2 linked regions of the Diceros bicornis minor genome follow. The protein of the gene in region 1 interacts with the protein of each later gene in a pairwise test. Links are inferred from orthologs where the notes say so. Each region holds a gene or a part of one and is shown on either strand. Other genes may lie near its edges.

Evidence for each region. The genes of interacting proteins can lie anywhere in the genome.
Region 2: the proteins of FIP1L1 (region 1) and PRMT2 interact in a two-hybrid assay, tested with the Homo sapiens proteins (2 studies listed by BioGRID and IntAct). The link is inferred for Diceros bicornis minor from reciprocal best matches to the Homo sapiens genes FIP1L1 and PRMT2.

Annotation. Positions count from the first base shown.
Region 1 is NC_080747.1:41,487,439-41,495,360, reverse strand, and holds the start of FIP1L1 (pre-mRNA 3'-end-processing factor FIP1), read right to left. Parts: upstream 3,007-7,922; 5' UTR 2,795-3,006; coding exon 2,710-2,794; intron 1,511-2,709; coding exon 1,466-1,510; intron 1,363-1,465; coding exon 1,323-1,362; intron 1-1,322.
Region 2 is NC_080766.1:46,000,137-46,007,897, forward strand, and holds the start of PRMT2 (protein arginine N-methyltransferase 2), read left to right. Parts: upstream 1-4,752; 5' UTR 4,753-4,841; intron 4,842-5,892; exon of another isoform or gene 5,893-6,000; intron 6,001-6,346; 5' UTR 6,347-6,406; coding exon 6,407-6,445; intron 6,446-7,761. UniProt on the Homo sapiens protein: Arginine methyltransferase that methylates the guanidino nitrogens of arginyl residues in proteins such as STAT3, FBL, histone H4. Acts as a coactivator (with NCOA2) of the androgen receptor (AR)-mediated transactivation.

The DNA.
Region 1 (7,922 bases):
TATGTTTACAGAATAGTGCAACCATCGCAACTATGTGATTTCAGAACATTTTCCTCACCCCAAAAAGAAACTTTGTATATATTAGTAGTCACTCCCCATTTTCCCCTGTCCCCTGTCTTGGCAACTACTATTTTCTGTCTCTATGGATTTATCTATTCCATACATTTAATAAAAATAGAATCATACAATATGTAGGCTTTTGTGATTGGCTTCTTACACTTAGCATAATGTTTTCAAGGTTCATCCATTTTGTAACACATAGCAGTACTTCATTTTTTTTTTTACTACCAAATAGTACTCCAGTATGGATATACCACATTTTATCTCTCCATTCATTATTTGATGGACACTTGGGCTATTTCCATTTTCTGGCTATTATGAATAATGCTGCTAAGAACATTCATGTACAAGTTATTGTGTGGACATATGTTTTCATTTCTCTAAGGTAGACATCTAGGAGCAGAATTCCTGGGTCATATGCTAACTCTATGTTTAACATTTTGAGGAACTGCCAGACTGTTTTTCAAAGTAGCTGCACCATTTTACAATCCCACCATCAGTGTATGAGGGTTCTAATCTCTCCATATCCTTACCAACATCCGATACTATCAGTTTTTTTGATTATGGCCATCCTAGAGGGTGTGAAGTGGTATTTCCTCCACTTTTTAAATGCAAATATTCTTTAAAAGCTTTTTTTAACCACTCCTCCCCCCTTATAGGACACCAAGGCATCTGGTGAGAGTAAAGTCAGCATATCCATGTACTTGTATGCGTGAGCTGTTTTGAAATTTAGAATAAGTTTCTGGCTCCCTGTATATGTTCTGTAAACAATACTCATACCTTTCCAGTAATCTAACAAGGAGAATCAATCTCATAACAAATTCATTAATTCCACTTTGAATTTAAATAAATACAAAACACTGAAATTATAACCAAAGTGCCTTACACCCTCAAAAATATTAATTGTAAAAGCAGTAATTTAAAGGATTCTTTATTATCTAAAAAAATTTTTTAAGCTAAAATTTTTTTCTTAGTAGTCTAATGGTTACTGTATACTCCACTATTGAGCTCACTTAAGTATAAAAAGTTACTTAACAGTGAAAATTATCCAAATCCTTACTTCAAAAACTTTTGTCCCCTAAGCTACTAGCAAATAAACAGAATTAATATAAGATTAGGTCCTGAAACAAAAATAAACTCTGAATGATTCAATGTCTTTCAACCTTCAGTCAAAATGTTGTAATCAAGTCAATGATTATAAGGAGATAATTCTGACAATTTGTTAATTGAACCACTGTATCACACCAAGAAATTTCACTAACCTGGCATTTTCTTCTTCTGGCCTTTCAACTTCATTTTCATCTACCAAAAAGAATACATAAATAAATAAATAAAATTAACAAACAAACCACTCTCAAAGAAACCAGTATTATGAAAATCTGAAGTGATCATCACAAGCACTAACCTAGGTCCTTTGCCAAATCACTGTGCACATGCACGTCCCATGGGCCTATAAGCACATCCAAAGTTAGATCACCTTATAATGATGTAACAAGATATGTCTTTTATGAAAAAAAAAAATCAGACTTTACTTCTACAAAAATAAGCTTAATTTAAGAGGTATTAAAGATTTCTAGATCTTTGTAAAAGATACCCTACACATTTACATTTCAGAGAGTATTACTAATGCTAAACCTTGCCGTCAAAGATAATGAACTTATTTTACAAGTTTATCAAAATAGAAGTTTGTCCAAGCCACATCATGAAAGAGCTGCATGGTGCCCAAACGCGCACTTTTACTTTACTATTTTAAAGACATCAAAAATATACATTTTAGGTAAGGAACCAGTATTAACTTTTAAATCTAGTATCAGTAACAGAAAAGAAAGGACTGTGACTTAATGAAAGTTAAAACCAGATGTCAAACAAGTCCCTTTCAAAAGGGAAGTACAAAATGCTCTACATTTGAGGGGGAAAAAATGCACAAGACGATACTGAAAACCATTAGCCTAAGGGACATGAGGTACTTCTATCATGTGGGTTAAAGACCAGTCTCTTAAAAAAGAAAAACTTCACCTTAATACAGGAGACATTCGGGGTTTTCTTTATGGGCCATAATGTATTCCATCTCTTTCTTTCTCTCTCTCTTTCTCTTTTTTAATTAGTTATTTTTAAAGAACGACTTTCAGACAAGGAGGTACCCTTGCAGGTGCATTCCACACACACTGACCATCAAGAAACAAGACGTTAGTTTTACAGCATCAACTTTATTTAGCTATTATTACAGAATGATTGTTGCTGAAAGAAAGGGACAGGAGAGGCATCCTAGAGCCAAGGGGTAAGAGACACACCAACACAACTCAGAATAGATATCAACAAACAGAGTAAGGAGCGGAGGCGAGGCCGAGACGCCCTCGCGGGGTGGGGGGGAGGGGTGTGTGTGCGAGAGGGCTCGGGCCCTGTCCCGCGACCCCAGCCCGGCCCGGGCCGCCGCGGGGTGGGTGCGCCTTGGGGGTGTCGGCTGGGCGAGGAGGCCGAGGGGGGGCGGGGGGACGCGCACCCCGCGCTCGGCCTAAGTCAGGCCGGATAAGGCTCCGCACTGGAGGCCTCAGGCGGCGGCGTGAGGGACCCCGGACGCCCGCCGCTTGCAGGCCGGGAGAGAAGCCTGAGAGAACCCGGGAGAGAGAGAAGGGACAGGAAGTTCCGTACCGCCATAGAGCCACTCTTCCTCCTCATCCCCTCCGGTCCCGCCGCTCAGCTCCGACACTAGGCGCTCGACCTCGCCGGCCGACATGGCCGCCCCGAGCACAACTTAAAGGCGGCGATCAACAGCCCCTTGCAACCCCTTCCCCGGCCTCGCTGCCCGGGGGCGCGAGGGGGCGCGAACCCGCCGGCGAGCGAACGAAGGAAGCGCGAGACTCAAATCCACGGGGGACGGCCGCGGCGGCGAAGGCTGCAAGGGAGAGGACGCCAGCCCCCATCCGCCTGCGCACGCGCACCAGCATCCAAGCGGCGCGGCGTCTCTAGGTGGTTTCGCTTCCGCGGCGGCGGCCACCTGGGCCTGGTTGCGCGTGCGCACCGTAGTTGGCCCCGCCCCTGTGGAATCCCGCTCTGGCTTTTTAGCGTCGCTTTCTTTCCTGGCGTCCTGCGTCGGCTACGGTTCCCCGCCCCCAACGTTCCTTCTAATAACTCTATTGCCTTTGCCGAGGAGCGCTGCGTTGTTTGCTTCTGCCCTTGGTGCTTTGTCTTCTCAACCTTTCTTTCTGCTTTTTAATCTTCCGAAAGGCCATATTTCATTCTTTACATGTGTATCAGACTTGATACAGAATCGTTATCTATCAGTTCCCTGTTTCTCATTAAATAGAGAAGAAAACATAGTTCATGGCCACTTTCTTCAAAAATTAGTTTTAAACCGCAAACAAAAGCAAAACTAATACGTGAATAATGCATTCTGCTTGTTAAAATACAGCATTACGGGTCAAAGACCACCTCATCCATTACTCTCCTTTCCAGAGGTAGCCATTGTATTTGGTGGGCATCATCCTGAAATTTTCTATACATATACTTCAGGTGCATTGTATTGTTTTGGTAGGAGAACCTGAGGTTAACGATTCTTAAAAGGTACAGTACTGTATGTATCATTCTGTGGATTGCTTTTTATTTTTTTTAATTCAACAGTGTTTTGGAGATCCTTTCCATGTTAGTGTATATCAAACTATGTCCATTTTCAAGTGCTTCATAATATGCCATACCATGGTTCTCATAAAGTGAATGTGGCTATTTCCCTATTGATGTACATTTAGATTGCTTTCAACTTTTTGCTTTAAGATGCACACAAAAACTGCAATGAAGATCCTTGTAAATGACTTCTTGGGGATTTATACAAGTTTTTCTCCAAGATAGATCATAAAGTATGAGCAGTTTTTATTTTACTAGGTAATGTCAAATTTTCAAGCCACTTTTGAGAACACATCTTTCAAGATGACACATGATGGGTCAAAACTGGTGTTCTAGTTGTTAACTATAACTACCTAGTTGCATGACCTCAGGTAATCAACCTCTCTATGCTTCAGTTTTCTCATCTATAAAATGGGAAAGCTGGATTAGATGATCTCTCAAGTCCCTTTCTGTTCTAAAGTTTTCAAACAGGATGCTCACTTTTCAACAAAGTGATCTGTTTTAGTTTTAAAAATCAATCAGTGGGTTTACTTTGCTCTCTAATTAATAAATATTGTTCTTTCAGGGCCGGCCCATGGCTTAGCAGTTAAGTGCGCATGGTCCGCTGCTGGCGGCCCGGTTCCGATTTGGGCGCGCACCGTCGCACTGCTTCTCCGGCGATGCTGAGGCCGCGTCCCACATACAGCAACTAGAAGGATGTGCAGCTATGACATACAACTATCTACTGGGGCTTTGGTGGGGGTGGTGGAAATATTGTTCTTTCATTTATTTATTTAACAATTACTGAATATCTGCTGTTTAAGAACTTGGAAAATAAAGATATGAGTAAAAGAGTCCCTGCCCTTAAAGAGCTCTCAATTTATTGAGAAAGACAGAGGGGTGGTAAACAATTAATTCTTCTACAAGGGAAAAGGTGGCTATGCTACAATAGAAGCACAAATGTGTTTACATCCCACCAATACCACAGCATCTTATGGCATTTAAACAAGTCATGTGGTTTTAATCCCTCTTACCTTTGAACACTCCTCTACCTGCTATTCTCAGTCCCCCTTATCTGTTTAGGATAATCCCTTACCTCCTTCTGAACTCTGTTGAGTTATAATCAACTTTGTATGTGAAATCTTTCCTGAATTCCACTTCATCTCCTCCCATTTCTTTATTTATTCAATAAATATTTATGAATGGTCTACCAAGTGTCAGAAACTCTTCCAGGCTGTGTAGATTTGGTAATGAGTAGGGCAAAGTGCTCGTCTCATGAAGCTTTCATTCTAATGAGGGAGAGAGCCAATAACCATAAATGTACAATACGTCAAGTGATGATAAGGATTATACAGAAGAGTAAGCAGGATAGGAGGACTCAGAGCAGAATGATGAAGAGGGATAGGATGCTATGTTATATCAAGTGGTCAGGGAAAGCCACTCTGATGAGGTGATATAAGAGTAGAGACGTGAATGGAGAGAGAAAATAAGCCCTGTGGATTTCTGGGTGAAGCCTATCAGACAGAGGGAATAGGAAGTGCAAAGGTCCTGAGGCAGAGGCACACTTAAGGCATTCAAGGAACCCAAAATGTAGCCAGAGTAGAATTAGGGAGGAAGAGGATATAGATGATGTCAGAGTTATTAGGGAGTGAGTAGGGAAGAGCTAATTACTCTCTTCTAGACCTTTTGCTGCTTCTATGGCATGTATCTATCACATCATGTAGTAATTATTTGACTACATATGTGTTTTCTTAAGATTCTTCATTAGACCAAGTCCTCCCTCAAGCAGGGCTTTTTTTGTTTTTTTTGTGAGGAAGATCAGCCCTGAGCTAATATCCATGCCAATCCTCCTCTTTTTGCTGAGGAAGACTGGCCCTGAGCTAACATCCGCGTCAATCTTCCTCCACTTTATGTGGGACACCGCCACAGCACGGCCTAAGAAGCGTTGCGTTGGTGCATGCCTAGGATCCGAGCCTGGGCCAATAGCAGTGGAGCACGCGCACTTAAGCGATATGCCATGGGGCCGGCCCGAGCAGGGCATTTTTTTATATGTCACTCTCATTCCTGGCATGGTGCCTAACACTTAGTAGATCTTCTTGGCCTTTACTGACAGTAATGGAATGAAAGTTTTTATATTCTGCTTGGAGTATCATAAGGCAATCACTTATAGTCCTATTCATCTTTCTATTTATCATTCCATGAGTCTATAATGAACTTTGGTGGTTTCATGGGAGAACCAATTGTCTTTTGCTGAGCAGCCTCTTTCTCCTTTCAGATGCCTGAAATGAGCTCGTCTTTCAAGGCGTTACTTAAACTGAACTGAAGAACTGATGAATAATAATTGGTGCATCAGAATCGCCTTCATGATGGAGGTAGCATTTGAGCTAAGCTTTGAAAATGAAGATTTCCACAAGCAGAGAAGCCTATAAATCACTAATAATCACTTTTAAAAGGCCTCTTCCTTCCTTGCTTCCAATCTGAGTTCCTTGCCTGGATAAACTTCCTTAGTTAAAGGTGTCTTTATCTCCCTCCTCACCAGGGGAGACTTCAAAGACAGGTGGTTTGAAGATATTGTGTAAAATTATGACCTTATCAAACTACAATACTTCTTATATTCTGGTTATATTTGTGTTATGTTCAAATACTTTAAAGAATGTTTTTTTGGTGTGTGTGATCTGTTGGTTCTTGGCAAAAAAAAAAAACAACAACAAAGCATCAGTTTTAATATATCTATCTCTGAGAAGTACTGAAAGAGAATGCTTAGTAGATGATGATTAAAATGATAGCAAGAGGTAAAGATCAAATAAAAATGCCTTGCTAGGTATCTAGTAGTTAGCAAGTACTCATAAATGTGTTTTGAATGGATAGGACATTTAGGCTTAACTGTGCTATTTGCTGCCAATTTTAAATATGTCACTTAAATCTCAATGTTCCTCAGTTTCCTCACCAGTGAATTGATATATTAAAATAACACCTTTACACCCACTTCTTGGGAGGATAACAGAGCTAAAATGAAGTTTCAAATGTCAAATCATTTGACAAGTTAGAGGCAAGCATGTGGTGTGTTATGGTTAGACTTTTCGTCCTTTGAACAACCTGAATAATGGCACATGTATAGAGCTTTTCTTCCTCTCTAGATACTTCCATGAGGAATTAAGCCCCAATTATCCATCTTCCTCTGTATTCTGACGTATTTTAACACTAAATTTTATATTACTAGTTATTTCTGGAAAATTATATCATCTCCTATTTGCATCTACACTGTTATGTAGACTGCACACTCTTTAAGGATGAGAACAAAATTTATTTATATCTGTATTCACCAGATCCTCTTTTACAATGTCAAGCACGTGGAAAGTGCATAGTGAATCCTTACGTGTTGATCGTGCATATGGAGGAGTTTGAAATGAAGTGAAGGGAGATATGCTTGATTTTATGAAGAATGGGAAATAACTGCTGGCTGTTTTGAGCAGAGAAATACAAATCACATTTAAATAAGGTAAATCTAATGATCTTAAGCATGTAATTTTAGCAGGAATTCATTTGACTGCCATAATATCTGAGAGCAAGAAATGGAAGGAAGAAAATTCTGACACATAACGTGGATGAACCTTGAGGATATTATGCTAAGTGAAATAAGTCAGTCATAAAAGACAAATATTTTATGATTCCATTTATATGAGATATCGAGAGTAGTCATCTCATAGCAACAGAAAGTAGAATGACGGTTGCCAGGGGCAGGTGGGAGGGGGAAATGGGGAGTTGTTGTTTAATGGACATAGAGTTTCAGTTTTGCAAGATGAAAAAGTTCTGGAGATTGGTTGCACAACATTGTGAAAATAATGCTACTGAACTGTACACTTAAAAGTGGTTAAGATGGTAAATTTATGTTATGTGTATTTTGCCACGATTAGAAAAACAGAAAACAAACAAAAACATGTTCCAACTGAACTCAGTATATTTTTCCCCCAATCGGCTTCTCATCTGGTTTTCTAAATCTCAGTGATTGCCATTTACCAGTCACCCAGGCAGAAAACTGGATGTTACCCTGAAATTCTTCCTCTGCCTCACTCTTTGTCAATCCAGTAACCAGGCTTTTTGGCTCTATCTCCTTAACATTTCCTTAGACACCCTTCACTGTAGATCCCCTTTACTGGTATCCTTATCTACTCTGGCCCAAGTGGTTGCTGTTACTGTTTCTTAACTGCTCTCCCTGCCCTAAATCTTAGTCTGCTCAAATTATTGTCCATGACTTGACTAGAATC
Region 2 (7,761 bases), on another chromosome or scaffold:
TCCTCACTGCCATCAAATTGCTTGGGCACCTTTGTTGGAAATCAATGACTGTAAAAGTGTGGGTCTACTTCTGGACTTTCTTTTCTGCTCCGTTGACCTCTTTGCCTATCGTTTTGACAATATCACATTGTCCTGATTACTGTATCTTTATAATAATTCTTGAAGTCAGAGAGTATATATCTTATGATATTGTTGTTCTCTTTTAAGATTGTTCTGCCATTCTAGGTCCTTTGCATTGCTCTATAAATTGTGGAATCAGTTTGTCAGTTTCTAGAAAAAAATCCTATTGGCATTATGATTGGGATTTTGTTGTATGTATCAATCAAGTTGTGGAGAATTGACTTCTTAAATATATTGTTTCCAATATGTGAACATGGAATCTCTCGCCATTTATTTATCTTTTAAAATTTCTCTCAGCATTTTAAAAATAGTTTTAGTGTAAAAGTCTTGCACATATTTTTGTTAAACTTATTCCTGAGTATTTTATGTTGATACTTGTTCCGGGTCTGTCTCAGTCTATTGATAGTGATGCTATCCACTAGAAATGCCTGGGGGCACTCACCTGGGCTCCTACTATTTGTGGGGACCCCCCACAGACATTTCCAATGTTGTGGCTCGACTGGCCCTCATGGTTCTTATTACGATTGCAAGACGCACCTCAGCAACAACCATTATGGAACTTTGAAAAGACAAGGTTTATTATTCACAAGTCCTGGAAGGTACATGCATGCCCCGGGGCCACACAGCGAGGTCGCAGGTAGAGAAAGAGAGAGAGAGAGAGCACACATCAGTGAGGGCTTGGGCTTCTGCCTTTACTGGGGTGGAGGGAGGGTGCCTAGAGTTTTGTGGGTTCACTCTTTTTTTGTGTGTGTGAGGAAGATTGGCCCTGGGCTAACATCCATGCCCACCTCTCTCTATTTTATATGGGACACCACCACAGTATGGCTTGACAAGTGGTGCATGGGTTTGCGCCCAGCACCCGAACCTGTGAACCCGGGGCCACCTAAGCGGAGTGCACGCACTTAAGCGATACGCCACCGGGCTGGCCCCTGTGGGTCCACTTTTTATTGGTGAATTTAAAACATAAGAACAGTGATTAAAGTGCAGGAAGGGGAAAACAAGTGGTCAAAAAGTCAGTTATCTAGGTCACCCAGGGCTTTTCTAAAAAAAACTTCCTGGGTAGGGTGGCCTGGCTTTTTAGCTAGTTGTGTAGCTGGCAATGTGTTTATTCATTTATTGAAGTGGATACCTCAGCAATCAAAAGCTTTATGTCAGGCACTTATAATCAAAAAAGCTAATGGTCAGCTACTTACCCTACAATGCTATTATAAATGGGTTTTAAAAAAAGTTCATTTTCAATGTTTTGCTCCTAATAGAAACACACTTTTTTCTCTATGTTGATCTTGTATCCCACAATCTTGCTAAATTCACTTATTTGTTCTAGTAGTTGTTTTGTAGGTTCCTTAGGCTATTCTATGCGAACAATCTAATCTTTTGTGAATATACATAATTTTATTTCTTCCTAATAGTTATTCTTTTTATTTACTTGTTGCTTTACTTGCCTTATTGTGCTGGCCAGGATTTCCTACAAAATATTGAATAGAAGTGGTGAAAGTGGATACATTTGCCTTGTTTCTAATAAAAACTTTCAATATAACATCATTAAGTATGACTTTAGTGATAGTTTTTATTTTTATTTTTTTGTTGAGGAAGATTGGCCCTGGGCTAACATCTGTTGCCAATTTTCCTCTTTTTGCTTGAGGAAGACTGTCATTGAGCTAACATCTGTGCCAGTCCTCCTCTACTTTATGTGGGAAGCTGCCACAACACATCACAGCTTGATGAGTGGTGTGTATGTCTGCACCCGGGATCTGAACCCGTGAGCCCTGGGCTGCTGAAGCAGAGCATTCGAACTTAACCACTGTGCCACTGGGCCGGCCCCAGTGATGGAGTTTTTGATAGATGCCTTTTTACAGACAGATGTTCTATTTTTGCTGATATTTAAAAAAATCACGATTGGGTATTATTTTGTCAAATCCTTTTTAAAAATGTACTGAAATGATCATATGATTTTTTTTCCCTTTATTCTGTTAAAATGGTGAACTACATTGATTTTTAAGAGTTAGACCAATTTTACATTACTGGTGTCGGGGGAAGAGGGAGAATCTCCCTCTGCCCTTTCCCTTAAGGTTCTTCTGGCTGGCCAAATAATCAACAAGACAGGTTAGCAGGAGAAAATAATACCAAGTTTAATAACATGTATACATGGGAGAAAGCAGGGACACTGCGTTTCTCAACACAATAGCAGAAATTCTCATCTTAAATACCATCTTCTTCTAAAGACAAAGGAGGATGTTGGGGGTGGGGGGTGTCAGTTACAGGAGATTACCACTAAAGCACTGTAAACAAGGGTAAGGTTATTATGCAGATTTAAGGCCTCACCTTCCACATTGATAAGTTTCTAGAAATGAGGTCATCCCCCCTCTTCCCAAGACAGAGAGGGAGATACCTTTACAAATGGAGATTTCCCTTATAAATGTAAATGTTTGTCTGGCAACTCCTTGCAGGGCCATCCAAAGAATGTGGCCAGAGACAGAACTTCTGATAAGATGGGCTTGTTGGTGCCTTTCCTATTGTAAGATCTATTTTACATTATATTACAGCCATCAGATGGAAGATCTGTTCCAGGAAGGAGCCACCATGTCAAATTCTTTAGGCAGTTAGTGGGGGAGGTCAAATGTCCTTCAGAGAAAACAATCAAGGTAAAGAGATATATTTCAGGGTGGCCAAATTTTGATCTCCCACACTGGCATAAACTCCACATGGTCATAATGTATAACCCTCTGTACATATTGTTGGGTTGGACTTGCTAATATTTTGTTAAGGATTTTTGCATATATTTTTATGAAGGATTTTGGTCTGTAATTTTCTTTTCTTGTATTTCTCAGGTGTTTGTATCAGAGTTATGTTTGCCTCATAAAACAAATTGGGAAGCGTCCATCCCCTATTTTCTTTAAATTTTGTTAATATTGGTGTTATCTCTTCTGTAGGGGAGGAAGAGAATTCCTCCACCCTCTAGGTCCTTCTGGCTGGTCTTAGAATTAAATTACATGAGACAGAATAACAGGAGAAAATCAAAGTTTAGTAATATGTACACATGGGGAAAACCCAGAAAAACTGAGTAACTTGTTAGAATGGCCAAAGCTGCCACCTTTTCAGCTAAAGACAGAGGAGGATGTTGGGGGTAGTGGTTTGGGGCTTCAAAGGGGAGGAAGGCAACTTACATGGAGATGGAAAAGGAAATGTTGTTAAACAAGAGTTTGCTGGGCCATCTATGACAACGGGATCCCAAGACAGGACTTTGATAAGAATGGGCTTAGCAAGGATGCTCCCAGTCTACTGACACCCAGAGTTATCTATGGTGATGGCCTGTCCTGGGGCCAGGGCATCTATCTTAAATTCTTTCAGGCCATTAGGGGGAAGGTCAAAGTTTGTATAAGAGATATGGAACTACACAGATTTTCTAAATATACTTGTTCAGTTTTGGTAAGTTATGTTTTTCAAGGAATTTGCCCAATTTATCTAATTTGTCAAACTTTTTTTGACATAAAGCTTCATAATACCAGTTTATTATCTTTTAAAAAAACCTATAATCTGTACTGAATTTTTCATTCCTCATATTGGTAATTTGTGTTCTTGCTTTTTTTATTGCAGTAAAATATACATAAAATAAAATTTATCACCTTAACCATTTATAAGTGTACAGTTCAGTGGTATTAAATACATTCACATTGTTGTGCAGCCATAACCAACACCCATCTCCAGAACTCTTCATCATGTAAAGCTGAAACCCTACAAGGATAACATGATCTCCCTCTTCTCCCTCCCCAGCCCCTGGCAACCACCATTCCACTTTCCGTCTCTAAGATTTGAGGACCACGTCCTGCCCTTCCCAGACCACAGCGCCGCCACCTGCCGACCCTGCGCAGCCACCGCACGGTAACCCGCACTGACGTTGTCCTGTTTTCCTTTTAATCCCTGACTTCCTCTTCATGGAGTAAAAACTTCATCACCATGCTTCCACTTGTCAGGTGGAAACAATGCCACGCCGTTCACACCTTGCAGCCGGAGATGGGAAGGTTAATTGAATTATTACCAAAACAGCAGGAGGACGGGGGTCCTGTTGCAGAAACCTCAGCGTTTCCGTCGCCCATAGCAGGCTTCTGACCACCCCCCCCCCAGGCCCAAATGGGCCCCGGCCCCCACTCCCCTTCCCCGGGTCGACCCGGCCTCCCCCAGCCCCACCTGCGCCCCGCCCCCCGGCCCCCACTCTCCCTCCCCGGGTCCGCCCGGCCTCCCCCGGCCCCCGCTCTCCCTCCCCGGGTCCGCCCGGCCTCCCCCAGCTCCACCTGCTCCCCACCTGCGCCCCGCCCCCCGGCCCCCGCTCCCCCTCCCCGGGTCTGGCCGGCCTCCCCCAACCCCACCTGCGCCCCGCCCCCGGGGCCCCACCCCCACACCAGCGGCGCGGCTCCCCCGCTCGCGCGACGACGGGAGGCGGGGCCCGTGAAGTGCGCCTGCGCGGGGCGCTCGGCCCAGGCCAGAGTACTCCACGAAGGGCCTGAGCGCACTGCGCCTGCGCAAGCCCAAAGGGGTGACGCCACTTGTCGTGACGGCGGGGACTGCGCAAGCGCGGGGCGCCGAGCCCAGGGCGGGGTCTTCTCCGCGGACGCGCGCACCGCGCCTGCGCGGGCCGAGGGCGGCGGCTCGGCTCCCCGTAGGCATCGTCTGCCCGTGCGCGCCGGCAATGAGTACGCGGGATTCAGCGGAGAAACGCGGCTGAGGTAGGTTTCCCGTTTCCCGTACGCTGCCCGGGCGGCTGGACCGCGCGTGAGGCAGGACACGCCAGGTGACCGGTCCGCGCCCGACGTCAGCTAGCGGGCAGAGGCCTCCGCCCCTTCCCAGACCGCCGGGTGCCTTCCCCTCCTCTGCTCCGTGCCCCGAGCTGACCATAGCTCGGCGCCCCTCCCCGCGGGCCACGCCCCGAGCCACGCCCTTGCGGAGGCTTCCCCGGCGCCCCGCCCACCGCTCTCCTAGCCACGCCCCCAGGCCACGCTCCCTCCCGTCCGCGCCCTGGGAGTCCGGCCGCCCCGCACGCTGCGGGTCACGTTACACTCCCTGTCCCCCTCCTCTCCGGCTCCTGCATCCACGGCGCCTTCTCCCCACCCCTCGTTGGCCACCTGCCCCTGAGGATCCTCGGCCCTCTCCCGGACAGCGCCCGGAGCCAGCGTCCTTGTGCCCCGCCCGGGTCCGCCCTCCGGCCGCGCACCGTCCCGCCCCATCCCGTGCCATCCTGGCCCCGCCCCATCCCAGCTCATCCCGCCTCATCCCGGCCCTATCCCGGCCCCGCCCCATCCCGGCCCCGCCCCATCAATCAGTCCCCAACTCACCGCATCCCGGCCCTATCCTGGCCCCTCCCCATCCTGGTCCCATCCCGCCCCATCCAGGCCCCGCCCCATCTCGGCGGTATCCTGCCCCGGCCCGGTCCTGCCCCGTCCCGCCGCATCCTGGCCCTGCCCCATTCTGCTCTTGTCCCTCGCCATCTTGGCCGCATCCTGCCCCATCCTTCTCCGCCCCATCTTTCTCCGCCCCATCCTTCCCCGCCCCATCCTTGCCCTTCACGCCCCGTTCCTTCCGGCCCCCGCCCTATCGACCGGGCCTGTCCTGGCCCCGCCCCACCCTGGCCGTCTAGCAGTGTTTTCCAATGAAAATGCAATGTATGTATTTTAGTATTTGTGATGACAGATGTCACAAAAATAAGTATTAGATCTTGATAAGTGAAGCACGCATTTTAAAGAAAGAATTGCTGTGTAATTTAAAAACCGTTCATCTCAGAGCATAGTACGGATTACACTGTCACTGGAAAAATGGGAATTGAGAATGAGAAGGAAAAGCCTCTGAAGATGCAGAGTTCCTGTTAGTGGAAACACTTTAAAGCCCCAGGTAGGGAGTTTTAATTGGAATTAAAGGTATCAGGGTTCCAAGAACAAATGTGACATCTATTTGTTGTTTTAAATCAACCCAGTGATCTAAGAGAAACCAACAAGCTTCCCTAATGAATAAGATTGACGCTTTGCAGACTCCTCAAGAAAACACACGCTCTTTGAAGTTTATAAATTGTAAATGCTTTCAGTTGTTTTTGTAAAAAGTTGCGTTTATAAACTTCATTTTTATTTCATTCTTTAGACATACATGTTTTGCTTCGGTTCTGTAGAGGAACTTTATCGTGGACCTTAGACCTTAAGTGACGGAACAAGCGTTTTCTCATTCTCTCTCTTTTTAAAAGTAGGAATGGAGGGGAGAATGAAACAGTAAAAGCGGCAGCTATGCGGCAGATCCTAAGAGAACTATGGCAACACCGGGTGACGGCCCCAGCAGTGAGTCGCAGGTAATTTCGGTTCTGGTGTGTAAACCTGTATTTAAAGGCCGTGAATGTCACTGACTCAGCCCAGGGTGGTGGCGCTGTCCTTGGACCTTTGAAGGTGGCCGCTGACAGTGGGGTGCTTAAATAGGGGAAGTGCAGTGTTTGCACGGGTCACAGATGGCGTGCTGAGTTGGGCGTTGTAAACACCGCCCAGGGCTCTGGGGTTCCGTTTTTGGTACTGAAGCTGGTGAAGCAAGCACATTTTCTCAGTTGTTTGATGAAGTCCCAGGCATAATGTGTTAAAGGCAGGTGGGACGCATTAGAAAAGATTTATGTATTCATACTGCTTTTCTACCTGGGATACACGTATAGTTTCATTCAAGTTACCAGTAAAAAAAAAAAAGTCACCTTAAATTTCAAGGAATGTTAATTATGTAAAATTAAAACCAAATGAATAATAAATAATGTTTTAAAAAAATCAAACATTTTCATGTCTATGGTGTCAATTTTAACATTTTTTTCTTTTCCTTCTAATGATTGCTCAAATTTCATTTGGGTTTTTATATATAGGAATTTTATTTATAGTGGGTCATTTCATCTGTCAAAATTACTTATAAAATGTTTCAATTCCGTGGATGTCTTATTTTTCTTTTGATAAATTTAAAAATATTGGAACAGTTACAGAATAACATTGCTTACATATTACACAGAAGTGAAAACTTGTTAACATTTTGTCATATTTGCTTAAGAATATATATATAAATATATGTAAACAACAAGACCATAGATAACAGTTTGTTCTCCAACCTCAGAACCCCAGTCCCATTCTTCCTTCTCTGTCTCCAAAGGCAAGCACTACTATGAATTATGAATTGATCTTTGTGCTTCTGCACCATTTTTTATACTTTAATATTTTATATAGGCATCCTTGAGCAATATATGATGTTTGTGCTTTTTACAGTTTATCTAAGTGGTGTCATATTCTCTGTGTCATCTGCAGCTTGCCTTTTTCACTAACGTTACTTTTGGGGGGTTTGTCGTTGGTGTGTGTGTAGCTATGGGATGCTCCTGTAGCATGTTCCTTATATGAATGTATCACGTTCACACATAATGTATATAGGTCTGTTGCAGTCTTACTATTATGCAGTGCATGTACACGACATTTTATTTATTTCCCTTTTGTTGGACACTTAACGTTTGCATTTTTTCTCTATTTCAAGCAGTGCTGCAGTGAACATCCTTCTGCAGGTCTCCTTGTGCACATGTGCCCTGGGGTATATTCCCAGTAACGGCATTGCAGGGTGCAAGGGATTGCGTGTTTTCAGTTTTACTAAATAGTG